Linked DNA regions of Oryctolagus cuniculus. The protein of the gene in region 1 interacts with the protein of each later gene in a pairwise test. Links are inferred from orthologs where the notes say so. Each region holds a gene or a part of one and is shown in the gene's direction. Other genes may lie near its edges.

The links.
Region 2: the proteins of FHL2 (region 1) and ITGA7 interact in a two-hybrid assay, tested with the Homo sapiens proteins (2 studies listed by BioGRID and IntAct). The link is inferred for Oryctolagus cuniculus from reciprocal best matches to the Homo sapiens genes FHL2 and ITGA7.
Region 3: the proteins of FHL2 (region 1) and DCP1A interact in binary tests that used the Homo sapiens proteins (3 or more experiments, as listed by UniProt). The two-hybrid records come from large-scale screens. The link is inferred for Oryctolagus cuniculus from reciprocal best matches to the Homo sapiens genes FHL2 and DCP1A.

Annotation. Positions count from the first base shown.
Region 1 is NC_091433.1:103,248,047-103,253,313, forward strand, and holds the end of FHL2 (four and a half LIM domains protein 2), read left to right. Parts: intron 1-3,125; coding exon 3,126-3,277; 3' UTR 3,278-3,734; downstream 3,735-5,267. UniProt on the Homo sapiens protein: May function as a molecular transmitter linking various signaling pathways to transcriptional regulation. Negatively regulates the transcriptional repressor E4F1 and may function in cell growth.
Region 2 is NC_091442.1:58,535,452-58,541,349, reverse strand, and holds the start of ITGA7 (integrin alpha-7), read left to right. Parts: upstream 1-1,957; 5' UTR 1,958-2,192; coding exon 2,193-2,398; intron 2,399-5,898. UniProt on the Homo sapiens protein: Integrin alpha-7/beta-1 is the primary laminin receptor on skeletal myoblasts and adult myofibers.
Region 3 is NC_091441.1:96,494,022-96,499,978, forward strand, and holds the start of DCP1A (mRNA-decapping enzyme 1A), read left to right. Parts: upstream 1-2,016; 5' UTR 2,017-2,154; coding exon 2,155-2,349; intron 2,350-4,850; coding exon 4,851-4,891; intron 4,892-5,957. UniProt on the Homo sapiens protein: Necessary for the degradation of mRNAs, both in normal mRNA turnover and in nonsense-mediated mRNA decay. Removes the 7-methyl guanine cap structure from mRNA molecules, yielding a 5'-phosphorylated mRNA fragment and 7m-GDP.

The DNA of each region.
Region 1 (5,267 bases):
CCCACTCAAGAATGAGTTAGGGCGCCGTGAGCCATCAGCGCTGTGGTAATGAATCAGCATACTGAGCGAGGTGTCTTCAGAAACACGGGAAGTAGCAGCTTGTATAGACTGGCTGATGAGAGCACTGTGGCCAGAGGCTTGGAGGAACTGAAGCCTGTATTTCTCTTCGGAGCAATGGCTCAGTTTTTGCTAATTCAGTGTTTGTGGGAATGTTCTGGAACATAACTACCGCGAATAACCGGAATCCACTGTGTACATGTTTCCTATAGGAGGCTCCTCCCCTTTGGGCTGACGTGGGCTCTCATTTCTGTCACTCACTCCATTTGTTGGCATTTGAGAGCACAGAATGGAGACAGGGGACTTCCCTTCTGGGCCAGCCTGCATGGCGCCTGTCACTAACACCCTCTGCATCCCCTCGGCTAGTCTCCTCCTTGCCCCCGGCTCTAGGGTGCAGCAAAGCCATGAGAGGTGAGAGAGACAGAAGCATGGGGTGTCAGGAACTCCAGGGAGTCCCAGCAGCTTCTCCTGGGCTCTGCAGGCTGACTCAGGGTGAGGTCCATGTGCCAAGAAGAGAAACAACCACTTTCCAACCCTGCACCAGCCCTGCCCCTAGATCAAGTTAGTGTCGCCTCCACCTCTGCTTCTCCAGCTTGGCTCTCCGCTGCAGAACCTAGCCGGTTTCCTACATGACAGATGCCCGCGTCATGATTTATTTGCGATGAGCTGGGTGTTGGAATGTTTCAGTTTCCCAGATATGCAGGGAAGTTAGCTTACCCCACCAGCTGAGTCCTGTGCAGTGCCAGGCACAGGATCTGTGAACCCTTGGTCTTTCATGGCCCTTGGGAGTCAGATTCGTGAGGGCAATTGGTGGTCTAGAAACACTGTTTATTTTGGCGTCACTTTCTTTAAACCATAAGGCGTTTAGGAAAAGAGATCTGCAAAGCTTCACTAATATAAATATCTGCTCCATCAGTAGCCATCAGTGTGGTATTAGAACTGGCATTGCATGTCTTGGGTTCAGGTCCCAACCCTGCAACTGATTGGTGGAGGAAGATTAACTCTAAGCTCTCCCTCCTGTACAGAGTTTAATGCCCAGCACCAGCCTAGACAATTCAGTTATAATGCGAAGGGCAATGCCATGCCAGAATCCCATATCTGAGAGCGAGAGCCATTTCAGGTCCTGGCTGCTCCACTTCTGATGCAGCTCCTGCTAATGGCCTGGGAAAGCAGCTGAAGATGGCCCAAGTGCCTGGGCCCCTGCACCCGTGTGGAAGGCCTGGATGGCATTCCTGGCTCCTGGCTTCAGCCTGGACCAGCCTCTGCCATTGCAGCCATTTTGGGAGTGAACCCTGGATGGAAGATCTCCCTCTTTCTCTCTCTCTCTCTCTCTGTTTCTCTATCATCCTGCCTTCTAAGTAAATAAATAAATTTTTCTAATAAAAAGTGTTACAACGGAAATTAGCTGGTGAATTACAGATTCCTCATCTAAGTCTGAGACCTCAGATTTTAGAAGTGGAGTGGTCGGTCTGCTTGCTTTGTTTTAGTATAGTTCATTAAGACTTTCTGGAAGGAATTCTTTGAAGTTGAAATTCATGACCCCCATTTCAACAGAAGTGACTTCCATTCTGACATCAGCATATGCGTTTGATTCTGTTTTATTCCAGGTGATGAACAGCAGCATAAATCAACTGTACCCAGTGTAATTAAAACAGTTGATGGGAGTTAGGCATCCAATATAAAGCGAACAGTTGTAATGAGATACTACTTTTCCTATGTACAATTACAAGACGGCCTTGTCCCTTGCCTCCACATTTTCCTGGTCTGTTTCCATGTATGCTAACAGCCTCATCTTATGCCCGCCCCATCTGACTGCACCGCCTGCGTTCACGCTCCTGGAGCTGTGTCAAGGACTTTACTCTGAGGAAGGCCCACTCCTTCTTCCCCACCCCCACACCACTTAGTTGCTGGGGCCTTCCCTGGCCGCCCCACCAGAGAAGATGAACCCTTTCCTCTTCTACATTCCTTTTTTTTTTTTTTTTTTTTTTTTGACAGGCAGAGTGGACAGTGAGAGAGACAGAGAGAAAGGTCTTCCTTTTGCCGTTGGTTCACCCTCCAATGGCCGCCACGGCCAGTGCGCTGCGGCCGGCGCACCGCACTGATCCGATGGCAGGAGCCAGGAGCTTTTTTCCTGGTCTCCCATGGGGTGCAGGGCCCAAGGACTTGGGCCATCCTCCACTGCACTCCCGGGCCACAGCAGAGAGCTGGCCTGGAAGAGGGGCAACCGGGACAGAATCCGGCGCCCCGACCGGGACTAGAACCTGGTGTGCCGGCGCCACTAGGCGGAGGATTAGCCTAGTGAGCCGCGGCGCCGGCCCTTTTTTTTTTTTTTTTTTTTTTTTAAAGATTTATTTATTTGAAAGTCAGAGTTACACAGAAAGAGGAGAGGTAGAGAGAGGTCTTCATCTGCTGGGTCACTCTCCAGTTGGCCACAACGGCTGGAGCTGCGCCGATCTGAAGCCAGGAGCCAGGAGCTTCCTCCCGGTCTCCACATGGGTGCAGGGGCCTAAGGACTTGGGCCATCTTCTACTGCTTTCCCAGGCCATAACAGAGAGCTGGATCGGAAGTGGAGCAGCTGGGTCTCGAACCAGAGCCTAGATGGAATGCCAGTGCCACAGGCAGAGGATTAACCCACTGCACCACAGCGCCACAGCGCCACAGCGCTGGCCCCTCTACACTCCTTTTAGCGCTTCATTTATTAAAGCTTTAAAAAAAAAAACCTCTGGGCAGCAGACACAGCAGGCACAAGGAGGGCCTGAGGAACCTGCTCCCTGTTCTGTTTCACGTGGGAAAACCTGCAATAAACTAGTGAACAGATACACACAGTAGGCCCTTTTTGTAGTATCACATCACTTCAGGGCCAGGCCCTGTATGTCTTTGTTCAACGTCTGTGGGCTCATGCAGGCTGCACTTAGTATCTGCCTTACACACAGCTCTCTGTCCAAAGCACACAGTGCAGACTTGGAAGAGGAGCCCGCGAGGACTCCTTCAGCCGTGGGGCTCCAGTCTAACCAGCGAACCCTCCCTTCCTGCCTTCATTCAGTGGTGGTGTTGTTCTTTGTTAACAGGAATTGGTGGCACAAAATACATCTCCTTCGAGGAGCGGCAGTGGCACAACGACTGCTTCAACTGCAAGAAGTGCTCCCTGTCCTTGGTGGGGCGGGGCTTCCTCACAGAGAGGGACGACATCCTGTGCCCGGACTGCGGCAAAGACATCTGAAGGCCCCGCGGGGATAGCGCGCAGTCGCTGCTTGAGTCACACACACACACACACATTTATGTATTTTCTTTCTCCACCAGCAATATTGTGCTCTGGCTTCCACCTGCCTCATGTGCTTCTCAGTGCTAGTCTTGTCTGTTTAAATCCTTTCATCTTCGGGACTAAGTCAGTCCCAGGGAAAAGCGAGAATCCTCATGCAACCCTACGTGGGAAGATAGTTTGGAATTTCTGTAGTTATTAGGGCCAATCCAATTGCAAAACTCCTCTCGAATGATGTCTTTATAAGCTTATCTTTCTTTTCACTGCATATTTAAGTGCAATTCGCATATGTCACAAACTTGACTTTTAAGAACTGTATAAGGTAATGAAGCATTGGTACCTACAGCTTTTAAACTTCCTGTTATGTAAAATCGAAAGCAAGAGTATGTGATTTACAATAAAGTTATTCCAGACAGAATGTTTTGGATTAATGATTAAACGTTGGGATTCTCAATGTAAGGACAACTTTCTTGCCTGGCCCAGCGATTGTTCTGTGCCCTGCAAGTTCTGATGTGCTGGGACCGGAAGTGGTGTCACTACTTCCAGGAAGCCTGCAGATCCATGTCTCTCCTGCCTCTTCTCTTTCTTCTCGTTTCCCAAGTGCTCCCTGGAACGCACTGCTCTGCATTTGAAGCCAGTGACAGGCAGGGCCATTTGGGTGTCACTTTTCCTGGCAGATGCTGGCTTTGTCCCACTGTGATGGATCTCCTACACTGAACTGCTTTCTCCCCCATCAAGTGAAGGACTGGGCAAGGGCACAAGCAACTTGAGGGCCAGAAGTGACATCCTGTTCATCTTTATACTCAGTATCCTAGCAACTGAGGGCATGTAGGAAGCCTTCAGTGTTTCTGCAAAGGGAATGATAGAATCATTGCTGTCAGAATACTACTCTGGGCGCCTAGGTTTACAGTGGCTGAAATAATCTTGGATAGCCTGGTTCTAGCTCGGGCTCTGCTTCCAATACAGCTTCCCATGAATGCCCACCCCAGGACAGCAGCAGATGATGGCTTACTGCAGTTCCTGCGACCCGTGAGGGAGACTGGGAGTGAGTTCCTGGCTCCTGGCTTCAGCCTGGCACATCCACTGCTATTGCAGGCACTTGGAGAGTGAACCACCGGATGGGAACTCTTTCAAATAAAATGAACATTAAAAATAAAAAAAAATTAAGCCTCAGGATTTTCTCACTGGCCCTTGTCTGATACCTATCTATTGTTGCGTAGCAAACTACCCGCAATACTCAGCGGCTTAATACAACCCCTGCTGTATTCACTCACAATTCTTAATCGGCAATTTGGACAGATGTTCCCTAGCAGAGAGGCTGGGGGACAGGTGACTAGTGGTCACGCATCTGGCATGGCCAGATGGCTATTGGCTGGGACATGTATTTGCTGTGGGCAAGCCTGGGCTTTTTCTTCTTTTTTTAAGATTTATATATTTATTTGAAAGAGTTACAGAGAGATCTTCCATCTGCTGGTTCACTCCCCAAATGGCCGCTAGGGCCAGGGTTGGGCCAGGGTTGGGCCAGGCTTGGTCAGGCTGAAGCCAGGAACCAGGAGCTTCATCTGGCTCTCCTACATGGGTTCAGGGTCCCAAGCACTTGGGCCATTCTCCACTGCTTTCCCAGGCACCTTAACAGGGAGCTGGATCACAAGTGGAGGAGCTGGAGTTCAAACCGATGCCCATATGGGATGCTGGCACTGTAGGCTGTGGTTTCAACCTGCTGAGCCACAGAGCCGGCCCTGGTTTTTTCATTTCTCATAGCAAGGATCCAGAAGTGACCAAAATATTCATCTGCTGAAGCACGATTTAAGGCCAGGCCAGGGGATACTCAGGTGTTGGGAAGCAGATGGCACCTTTGAGGAATGAACAGATTCCGCAGGTACTAAAATGGACCACAGGCAGGATGTTCTTCCTGGCAGCTATCCACAGCTGCCCCTGAGTCATTACCCCT
Region 2 (5,898 bases), on another chromosome or scaffold:
TATTTATAGCTAGGCTAATTTTGGGTGGCCTCTCTCTCTCTTCTGCTGTTCCTTCCTCCTGTGGCTGGTGAGGTGACTTCTGAAATATTTGGGCAGAGAGGTCAGACACAGATTCTTGGCATCTGATTTCAGCTTTGGATTTCTCCGAAGCTGGTGGAGTGCACATAGGGGGCTGACAGGCTGCAGGTGCAGAGAGGCAGCAGCTGGAGAACCGGGTGGGGACTCAGGAGGCCTGGGTTCTGTCCTGTCAGCTCTTCTCCACTGCCTGGGACTCTGAGACAGCAGAGATGGACAGGACATCTCTGGGAGAGAGTGCAAGGAGAATGCTGGTGCAGGGTTCCTTCTTAGCCCCTGTCTAGAGATGCCCTGGATGGGGTGTCCACAGGTGTAGTTGTACAAAAAAAAAAAAAAAAAAAAAAAAAAAAAAAAAAGGAGGCCAGACCTTCAAGTGGCAACACACCCAGGTCAAGGATTGTCCCAGGGCTGGCAGAGTGAGGGCCCCACGGACACTCCTGAACAAAGAAGGAAGAGAGACAGAGGATCATGGGAAGAGGAGATAGGTAGGACACAGACCTGAATATTTCAGAGAAGAAGGAAGAAGAGAGTCATACAATGTGCCAGCATTTGACAGGCAGAAACGACATTAGAGACATTGAGAAATAGTCTAAGATTCCAAGTGTGACAGAGACAAGGGAGGGACAAAAATAGAATTTGGGATGGGGGGGGGGAGAGAGGGAGAGAGAAGGGAAAGATGGACAGATGGACCCGCACAGGACCAATAGCCAGTGAAAACAAGGAGGAGGATGAGGGCATGGGAGCCAGAGAGGTCCCAGTTGTGCTGAATTGTTTCCTGGCTCTCCCCATGGCCCAGCCTCTGGATTAGAGTTATAAATAGCAGAAAGTTGGAAAATGTCCCCCTCTCCCTTTGCCTCTGTCCCAGCCTGGGGGAAGGGAGAGGAAGAGGGACAGGCCATTGGGTCCCCGTGGAGATCCCTTCTGTGCCCCACCCGCATCCTGCTGAGCCAGTCCAGGGCTCTGCCCCGCCCCTTCTGCCCCATGGGAGCCGCAAAGTCCCGGGAACAGTCTGGTGGCTGCAGGCTCCTTTGCATCCCTCTGCCTCTTGGGTCCAGTGTTTGCGGTTCCTGGATGAGCCCACCCCCTCACCCCTGCAGCTTGATCTCCTCTTCCTGTGTCACCCTCTGTCTTTTCTGCCTTCATCCTGCCCCTTGTTGGTCAGACTCTTGGCCTTCCTCCTGCCTCTGTCATGCTTCTCTTTCTCCAGCTCTCCACTTGCTCCCCTCCCTGTCTTCTCCTCGTCTACACCCTATCCTCTGCTCCTGTGAATGCTGACCTCAGTGCTAGCAAGGCCTGGTCATAGCCAGGCTGGGGGCGAGGGCGAGGGCGGGGGCGGGGGCGGGGATGAGGTGCTGTACCAGGATGCTTCAAAAAGTTGGCGGAAAATAGAATTAAAAGATAAGTTCACTTTGGTGCAAAAGTTCATGGGAAATGCATATCATGGCATGGCTTTCAGAAAATACTATTGCACCAAAATAACCATTTTCCGTTAACTTTTTGGAGGCTCCCTCGTGTGGGGCCCAGGACTGCTCATCGTTCTTCTCTCTGTCCGCCTCTCTCCTCCCAGGTTGTTCTTCAGTCTCCGCCACTTTCCTGCTACCCTCCTTACTCTTTCCTGGGCACTTCTCGCTCCCTCCCCGTTCCTAGGCACCGCCCCCACCGCTAGGGTAGGGGCGAGGGGTCGATGTGGGGAGGGGTCGAGGGCACTGCGTGACTGGGCCGGAGCCGGTGCTGGACCCGGAGGAACAGGGGCAGCAGGGGCAGGAAGGCCAGCTCCAGCTCTCTCCGAAGCTGCGGGCCTGGGCATCCTTTAGCCACGCCCCCGCTCCTCCACCTGCCGCTGGGGCGAGGGGCGGGGCCTGGGCGGGGCCTGGGCGGCACCCTGGGAGGGGAGGCGGGAGCGAGAGCGCGGACGCTGGAGCTGCGGCTGCGGCATTTGCCCTAGCGGGTGCTGGGACATCAAAGGGGCAGGATAGGAAGGGGTGGCGGGGCGAAAGTTTGGAGACCCCCCCAGAGAGCAGAGAGACTTCGGAGACCCAAGCCGCGCCTGCCGAGAGCTGGGGCTCGGGCGCGGGAATTTCCTCGCGCTTGCGGGCAGCGCGCGCGGGGCTCAGCTCATGGCCGGGACTCGGCGCCGCGATCCTTGGGGGGTCCCCGGGATCTGCTGCTTTCTTGGCTCTCTGCTCATTAGCCTGCTCCCGCCACGGGCTGTCGCCTTCAACCTGGACGTGATGGGCGCCCTGCGCAAGGAGGGCGAGCCTGGCAGCCTCTTCGGCTTCTCTGTGGCCCTGCACCGGCAGTTGCAGCCCCGACCCCAGAGCTGGTGAGTGAGTCGCCGCTCCCGCCCGCCTGAGCCTCAGACCACCCTCTGCCTCTTCCTCTCAGTTTTCCAGCCCCACAGATAGATATCCCACGCCCCAGTCCACATCATCTGTCTCGGGTGGGTAGCGTCCGGTACTCCCAGGCCCCGAGACCCAAGATCTCGCTCTGGGGATGAGTTGGAGGGCCAGGTTCTCGCCTCTGGAGGGGCCCATCTCCTGCTGATGCCCCCACCCCCACCCCGCACATCCTTACTCCAGCCCCAGGGTCTCTGGCTCCCCTTCTTTTTAGAGGACAAGTTTCCCGCAGGGAGGGACACTGTCCCTTCTGTCTCTGCTCAGGGTAGGAGGGGAGGAGAGAGGCAGAGAGATGGAGGGAGAACCGAGGACCTAACCTCCTGCCAGACCATGGCCACAGGATGTAGGGAGGGCATCAGGGCTCTGGGAGGCCGGGAGAGAGCTGCCACTTCCATGGACCAGTGTCACAGGAGGTTGTGTGTGTGTGGGGGGACCTGCCAGGGTCTGGCAAAGTGCAGGAGTGGGTTTGGGGGTCGAGGGCGCCAGAAAACAGAAGTCCCCAGAGTAGTCTTAGCAGCAGCCGGGGAGATGCAGAACGAATGCTGACCTGCTGCCTCCCTTGCTCCTTAGGAAATTTCCGACTCGGGAGGTAGAGATGGGAGGAGGAAGACCAATTCTAGTTCTTTTCTTACCAGTTCAGCCCCCGCCCCCCGCGTGTGTAGCCGGTGCTGGCGGTGAATCCTGTACCCTTCACTCTGGCTGCAGGTGTGAGTGCACAAAGAGCCGCAGGGAAGGAAGAAAGCTTCCCACCCCCTCCTGAGGGGGCTCTTCCATCCTTGGCCAGTGTCTGAGCCACACTAAGTGTCCATTACTGGGATCAATGTTGTCCACTGGGACTGTCTTTTCCTACCGTTGGCCCGGGGGCAGGGTGCAGGGAAGTGAGTCATTCCTCCCCTCCCACCCCCTTCAGGTGGGGGCTGGCTTTGATTTTTTTCCCATTATCGTTGTCATCTGGGGGTGGTGTCAGTGGTCCCCAAGACTTTGGGGGAGATAGAAAACAACTGACTTCACCTCTTCTTGGTCCTGCCATCCGCTTCCTCCCTCTTTGTCTCCTTCCCTGCCTTCCTCCTTCCCTCCCTCCCTCTTTCCCCCCTCTGCCAGAATTCCAGGACTGGAGGCCTTTTTAGGACATGCTGAACCCTCTGAGCTATTTCCAGGCAAATTCTAGGTTATTTTTAATAGCTTGGTCTCTTGTCATTTCCCCCTCCTCTCTGAAGGTGGCCCCTGATTTTGTCTCCCAGAGCCAAGCTGGGGGTATTCCCGGAGGGGCCTGACTAACCCTGCTTTTACTCCAACAGGGGGTGCCCTAGCTTTTGGGTGGCTGGATTGCCTTCTTTAGCACTCACTGATGGAAAAAACCTCTTTTCTTCTTTCTTGATTTATTTTTTAAAATGTATTTGAAAGGCAGAGAGAGAGAGAGAGAGAGAGAGAGGGAGAGAGAGAGAGAGAGATCTTCCAACCACCTGTACACTCCCCGGATGGCTACAACAAAAAGGGGTGGGGTGGGGTGGCTGAGGCCTGGGTTTCTCATGTGGGTGGCAAGGGCCTATGTTCTTGAGCCATCCTCCACTGCTTTCCCAGGCTCAATAGTAGGGAGCTGGATTGGAAGTGGAGCAGCTGGGACTTGAACCTGGCACTCATATTGGATGATGCTGTCTCAGGTGGCAGCTTAACCTGCTACTCCACAATGCTGGCTCTTTTGATATCTTTCAGTCTAGCCCCAAGATGAGACATTGAAGTCAAGCTTTCTTACCTTGTTCTGTGGTTTTGGTCTCATTTATTTCTTTTGGCTGTAAACTGGGGTTGCTATGGTGTGTTTAATATAAGTGCAATGCTTAGAATAGTGCTCCACTCATAGTGAGTGCCATGGAAGTGTAGTAGTGTTGTTATTTTTAAAATATTTATTTATTTGAAGGAGTTACATACACACACACACACACACAGCACACACACACACACACACACAGAGAGAGAGAGAGAGAGAGAGAGAGAGAGAGAGAGTCTTCCATCCACTGGTTCACTGCTCAGATGGCTGCAACAGCTAGGGTTTGGCCAGGCTGAAGCCAGGAGCCAGGAGCTTCATCCGGGTTTCCCACATGGGTGCACTTGGGCCGTCCTCTGCTGCTTTCCCAGGCCATTAGCAGGGAGCTGGCTCGGACGTGGATGGGATGCTGATTTCGCAGGTGGCAGCTTTACCTGCTATGCCACAGCGCCGGCCCCGGTGCTGTTTTCTTGTATTGTGATTCACAGGGGTAGAGAGTAGTCCGATGATCCTAGATCCAAAGACTGGGCTCCTAGGCCCCGTTGCCGGAGCCAGCCTTCCAGGCCAAGAGTCTTTCCCAGAGGGCCACTCAGATGAAGAGGGGTCAGAGAAGGGCTGGACTTGGGCTGGAGCCCTGGAGAGCGTGGACAGTGGGGGAGTGCAGGACTTGTGGGCTCCTCCTTCGTCTGCACTTAGCGGTGCTCCCAGGGAGTCCCTCTGCCCCCGGCTGCCAGCTCTGCTTTGCCTTTCTCCCTGCAGCGGCTGCAGTTGTGGCTACTATTCCGTCCGGAGGCCTGGGGTGGCTGAATTCATGGGACGGGAGCCAGGAAGGAGTGTGTGGCTGGGGCAGAGATGGAGAGGCTGCATGTGGGGATGCTTGTTCCCAGAGGGATCCACTAGGGATGCAGCTGGGCACACTGATGCAGTCAGCATCGTTCCTCTCCCCTCTTCTCTACTCCTGGCCTCCAGGGAAGATGTGAGCAAGGGACACTGTTAGCTCCTCTGAGTGCTTAGCTGTGCACTGACCCGCTGGGGCACGGGCGTCATCTCTGTCAGTCCGCATAGCGCATGGACTCAGCAAATGCGTCCTGTCGCTTCCCACAGGGCAAGCACAGAGCTGAGTCAGGAGCAGCGGTGGTCCTGAGTGCGGAGCCTGGGGCACTGAGGACTTGCACTGGGCCGTGTCACCTGGTTTCCGTTCCTTCCCTACCCGCTTTACTTTTCTGGTCTCAGTGTTGGCCCAGTCATTGGGGGGATGACAAAGAACCAGAGTTAGCAGCAGCGGCTGTGATTTCCAGCATGCTGGCTTCGTGTCACCTGATAGACGAGAACAGAATCCTTCTCCCACGTGGAGAGCGCCAGATGGGACCACGGGTGTGACTTTGTGACTTGTCCTGGCCTGGTGCCTGCATGTATATGGAGAGTGATGGACGTTAGTTCTTCCTGTCCCTGGAGTCTGGCCCACGGCCTCCCCCATTGTAGGTGCTGAAGAAGCATCGCATCCTTGTTTCTCAAGCAGTAGTTAAATGGATGCTGAATGGGCGCTCTCTTCCCTGCCACTCCCTACCCCTTCTTGCTCTTACCACTGGCTGTGACATGGGATGACAGCTGCTCAGAGATGAGGAAGAGGCGTTTTCGGGAAGGGAGAGTGGCTCTGAGCCCTCC
Region 3 (5,957 bases), on another chromosome or scaffold:
GGGCTTTGGTTCTGCACAGGAGGAACAGATGTCTGCGGCAACTGGGAAAGTTCCACAGCTGGTAGATTTGGAAGTAAAACACTGACAGCCTCATTGTCTTCCTTGCCCTTTAGACTTCCAGACGGTAAATAGCAAGACTGTTTGGTTAACCCCAAAGCTGCGCAGAGGGGGAGCAGAAGGGGTGGACTGATTAGATTTTCAGGCTCCCATTGATTACACTGCCACTATTTTAAATAATTAGCATACAGAGAACACAACTCAAAAGCGACTAAAGGTCTTTGGGTAAAGAGTAGGCCTCCTTGCCACCTCTGCTGTCACCCAGTTCCCTCCTCCTCCCCCTCTCCAGGCTCTTGTGTGGACTTCAAGACCACATTGGTTCCCCAGCATTTAAAGGTGCTCGGTGTCGGGGCCAGTGCTGGGTTCGAAGGACCTGCAGGGCCATCTCTCCTTGCCCAGAGTACACTGTCTAAAGACACAAAAAAGGCCTTGACAAAGCAAAAGTGGACCTCAAGATAAATGGGATGGCTTTCAATTCTAGAATATTTACATTATTTTTACTACCTCTCAAGCGTGGTGTAGGGCCTGAGAGCCCATGCAAGCACACATTTGAAGTGATTTTCTAGTCCAAACACAAAAACTCCCTCAATAGCTCAGTCCTCCTCACTAGTCTACACTGGTTCAACCAAAAATAGTAGATTAAAAGGAGATGTAAGTCTATACAAGGGAAAAAAACCTAAATTCAGTTTCAGTTGTGCCTCTTGCAGTTTGTACCTAGTGAGTATATTACCTATTTTAAAATACATATCTATAGTACAGAGGTTTTTGTTGTTAATGGATTGAAGGCAGGTGGAGGGGAATAAAGCTGCTACTTCCAGCCACTGGGAAGAGAAAGGCAATTGTGGTGTGGAGGGGGAAAAAATCTCAAGATACAGGGCAGGAGTCCCTGGGTTCTAATACCAGATCCCCGCTGACTGGTGTGGAATTCCGAACCAGTGCCTTCTCCTCCCTGGCTTCAATTAAATCATCTTCCTACCTCACTGTAAAATGAACCAAAGCCCTTACCTTTCTTCCCTGATGAACTCCTGCTCATCCCTGGAGCACTGAGCCCAATGTCACCTCCTCCATGAAGCCTTTCTAGATTCTCCCTGGCCAGAGTTAGTAGCTCCATCCTCTGGGTATCAAAGAGCAACGTCTCTTAACATCATCCCTGTTTCCTTAGATTGTCCTACTTCTTTCCCTTTCTCAGGGAGCCAGGGAGATGTCTTAAACAAGACTTGGAAGCTCCAAACGGCCCCTTTTTCACAATTAGGAGTTCCATAAACACCTGTACAACAAAAGTTAAATGAGTGGTGTTTTGTTTTGTTTTGTTTTGCTTTGTTTTGTTTTTGCCAGCATTGGTACATGCTGCAGACATGAGTGCTATTTTTATGAGGAGAACATGTTTTCCCTTCAAAACATTTCAATTCTGTTGGGGTGTCCCATCAATTAAAAAAAAAAAAAACTTGCTTTTTGAAGTGTGGGGGGAGCTAAAGCTCCCTACAGTTTTCACTTGTTTTACTCTTTAGCTACTACCTGATTCCTTAAAACGCTCAGTACATGTTCGCCAAAAGGAGTGACCTATTTAAAATTTTATAAGGTTCCAAACGAGTTCGAATCCCCACGGGCTCCTCCCAGGGCTGACTGAAAATATGCACGCGGGATCCAGGCGAAGGAAACGCCACTCCTGTGGAGCTCCAAGAAGGTTCTCGAATTCTCCTTTCGGAAACCATCAGTGACGACATCAGTGAGGGTCATTTAAGGCCCCCCTGCCCCACGCTTCTCCGTGCCTTCTAAACGGCCCGCAGAGCCTTTTCCACAGCAGGGTTTCCTTTCTGTAATCCCAGGGAGCGTCGCTCGCCAGCCTCTCCTGGCAGCCGTCACCTCCCTCACCTGGACAGCGCAGCCTGAGGGCAGGAAACGCTTCCAGCCAGCCCCATCGCGCAGCCGCGCACGCCGCCCCCGACGGCTCGGGCGGATGGGACCTGCCGACGCCGGAACTCGACGTCCGGGGCATGCGCGCGGCGGAGCTAAATGGCTGCTGTACCACCCCGCTGTCAGACTCCTCAGAGAGGCGGAAGTTGAGAGGGCTGACGCAGCTGGGGGAACTTTTCCTCGATGGCACTTTCCTGTCCGCGACTCCGCCCCCACCGGAGGGGCTCGGCTCCAGGATTCAAGATGGAGTCGCTGAGTCGAGCTGGGCAGGAGATGAGTCTGGCGGCCCTGAAGCAGCACGACCCCTACATCACCAGCATCGCAGACCTCACGGGCCAGGTCGCTCTGTACACCTTCTGTCCCAAGGCTAACCAGTGGGTGAGTGATGCGCGACCGCTGAGGACTCCGTCCTGGCCGCCGCCACCTCTTAAAGGGGCCGCGCGGGCTGCCTGGTGTGGGGGGCGAAGCTGGAGGCCAGGGCGGCGGAGGTGAGGTCGCGGAGTGGCGAAGAGGCGGGTGGGAAGCTGAGGGATGTCGGGGGTGTCCGGGATTCGGGCAGAGGAACAGGAGAAGTGGGCCTGAGACATCCCAGGGAAAAGCTGACAGAGGGGACGATTGGACCAGGATCAGTCCCTTGGGCTCGGGTCTGAGGACGTGGGCGACCTGCCTCCTTCTTCTGTGCACTGGAGGATGTGAGACCAGTGGGGTCAGATGGGCCCTGAAAGCTTGTTTCCTGATTAGAGGATTATTGGATAAATTACATATGTATATATGATCTGCAAGATTAGCACCCCTCCCCCCCACCCCCGCCACCCAGCGGACAGAAACGAGAGCCCCCTTAGCAGAGGTCATTTGGATTTAAAACTTGAAATCCAATTAGTCTGAATTCTTGGGAGGGAGGGCGTGGGATGAGTCCAGGTTTAATCGAACTCGTACCTGTATTTCCGGAGTTTTGGAAAAGATCGTAAGGCACTTAGGAGGGGGGCTGCTGTGTTAATTGGATTCCCTGGAGACCTTTTCCAGGAAAAAGACCGGTGATGTCACCTCTGAACACTCCCAGCGGACTGAATACTTTGGCTTTCGGGCACCAGAGGGAGTCTGAAAAGTTACTTTCTCTCTGTTCACCAGCTCTTGCTAGTCCCTGCCTGAAGTACTTTTAGTTGTTAAAATAACAGTTTCCTGGTTGCGGACCCTCCCTGGTTCACTCATTCAGCCATAAGCTGTACACCTAGAATTTACTAAGTAAACGCTTGCTGCGTTGAATTCGTCAGTGACTGGCACAGACATTCAGTGAGCGTGAAAGTTTTCAACAAAACTGTGGAGGATTGTCATACTGTGTCCCTTACTATACAGATGCATAGGTTATATTTGTCAGTAATTATATGAAAATCATCTGGCATTTACCAACAGTTAATTCACATGGAGAGAATTTTCATGATCTTTTTCTTACCACCTGGAAGACAGGAAGCATGAGAAGTCACAGAGAATGAAAATATAGAGTGTTTTTAAGTGTAGCTATTTTAGACATTGCCTTAGTTTGAAATGTTTTCAGTCGTTTCTCTTGGTTTGTGAAATATAGATTGCCAACAAATGGGGAAGAATGGGACTGTAATTTGTGCCTAAAAAGTTCTTATTTCTAGTTGTTGATACATTTTGAATATTTTAGAATTTTAAACTAAAATTCTTGTTTATATATGAGATGTAAACAGTTTACAAAAAAAGTTCATGGAAAATACATATTCTGGAAAAAAATGCTTGGAATTCAGAATTTTTTGTGCCGAAATAATTTTAATTTCATTTTCCACAAGCTTTTTTGCCATACCCTAGTACAATTGAAAAATAAACTGCTGTTTTTATGTATTGAAGCACGGCTCATAGAGCATAACCACATCTTTTTCTGTTCTGTGTTTTTTGGGGGACAAATTTTCTTTGAGACATTTGATCACCAGTTATTTAATACTAATAACATTTTGAAGGCAAGAAAAAGCTTCTGAATTCTTAGGAAGGAAGATTGATGATTATATTTAAGCTAAGGTAATACTGGAAGATATTGAGATTTTTTACATGTATAAATTATCCCAAATAATTTGGTTTGATATGTCTAACATGTAAAGTTTTAACATGTTCTTCATTGCATTAAAATAGTTAGGTCCAGCAAGTGGTGAACTGCAGACATTGCAACATTGTTTCTTTGTTTGAAATTTAAATACACTCTGGCAGAACAAATGAAAGGTAATACTGAGTTGTACTCTTGATCAAGGTCACTTTAAAATATTTTTTGCATTACTTGTAAGATAAAATAATTATTTAAGGCAGAGTATAATTTCAGTATTCATGATTCTTTAGCAAAGTTCTAAAAAATAATTACCTAATTGTGTTGATAGTAATTCTTAACCACAAGGTGTGCTACTCATGAAAATATACCAAAATGTTCCAGTGATAAAACAAGGGATCCTCTAAGAAAATTTCCATTTTTTTTATGTTAAGTTTGATAAACTTTAAAAAGTTAAGAAATTGTTGCCCACAGGACTTTGTCATTAAAATTAAGAAATCTGGCCAAAACATTTTCTTTAAAAAGTGAAAGCTAGTTCTGTGATTTTCTCTTTCACTGATTATAAAAGAAAAATGCTACAGATAAAGACAGGTTGCTGGGTTAAAGTCTGTATGTGCCTATGTCTGCATCAGCAGCATTGAAAGGATGCATAGGAAATTGGTAACCGAAATTTGTGCCATTAGAGGGAGACTTAACTTTCCCTGTTCAAAGGTGGTTAATTTTACAGTAAATAAAACAAGTTACTCATAAACATGAAGTAGTTCTCCTTAGGGAGTGTTTGGAGTTGGATTATGGGGAAAATACTAATTGATTCATTGTGTTACAGGAGAAGACTGATATAGAAGGGACCTTATTTGTATACCGAAGGTAAGCGTTTTTTATAATAAATGTTTTAAGTATATGGTGATCTGTCATGAGATGGTGCCACTTTGTGCGTTTTGGGGGGAACTCTCCTGCTTCTCCCCTTTGGTTGCATCCACCCCTAGCTCTGAGTTCCTAACCAAGTTCTTTCCCTTCTGTGAGCCTTCCTGTGAATTGGGATAAATGGAAGTAGAATCTTTTTAAGAGTTTGGTAAAACCTTTTCGAAATAGAAAGCATTTTTGACAAATGAATGAGCCTGAAACAGATTCCTCCCTCCTGACGCTATTAAAGAGCAAAGAGTGTTTGAGAAAACAGACTAGGTCTGTAAAACAATGAGGTGAGACTGAGAGGCTGGGCCTCCACTCTGTAGTGGCTGCTTCCACTCCAGCCGCTCTAAAAGTTCTGGATTATGCATAGCATCTTTAACCATATGTATTTTTAGCTTCTTTGAGAATTCGTCAGAAAGCCTAGGTTATTCATATTGTACATTTCTAATTTTCAACATCTCTGATAATTATGTTAAAATGTGATTGGTTTGGGAATTATAGCTTGGGAAGCCTAAAGGCAACTGACAGAATGTAGAAGTAGTGGAGAACTTGTTTTCCTGGATCCCCCTGAGGTTTTGCTCTGAAATGGGTAGTTGCCTTCTCTTGTTTTCTTTTTTTTCCTCTTTTTTATTTTTTTAATTTTTATTAATATAAAGAGAACAGATGTTATGCATTTCATAGGTTCAGTGCTTCCCCTTGTTCTCTGAAGCTTACAGTCAATGGGGACCATTACTGACATCTGGGTTTGTGTGTTTGTTTGTTTGTTTGTTTTTGTTTTTGTTTTTTTTTTTGTATTAAGGATTGCCTTTTTCTATCAATACTAACTTAAAATAATTTGTCAAATAGTCTTCTAAATTTTAATGTAAAGCTTTGAGATCTTGTCTAAGCACACTCATCTTTTTCTGCTTTTAAGTGTAAGTACTTTGATATCTGTACAGCAAGCTCTTCCTAAATTGGCACTTTATTTCCTTGATTTGTTCTCATTTTTAAAAGGAGGGACTTGACCCTAACCCCTTTCACACTC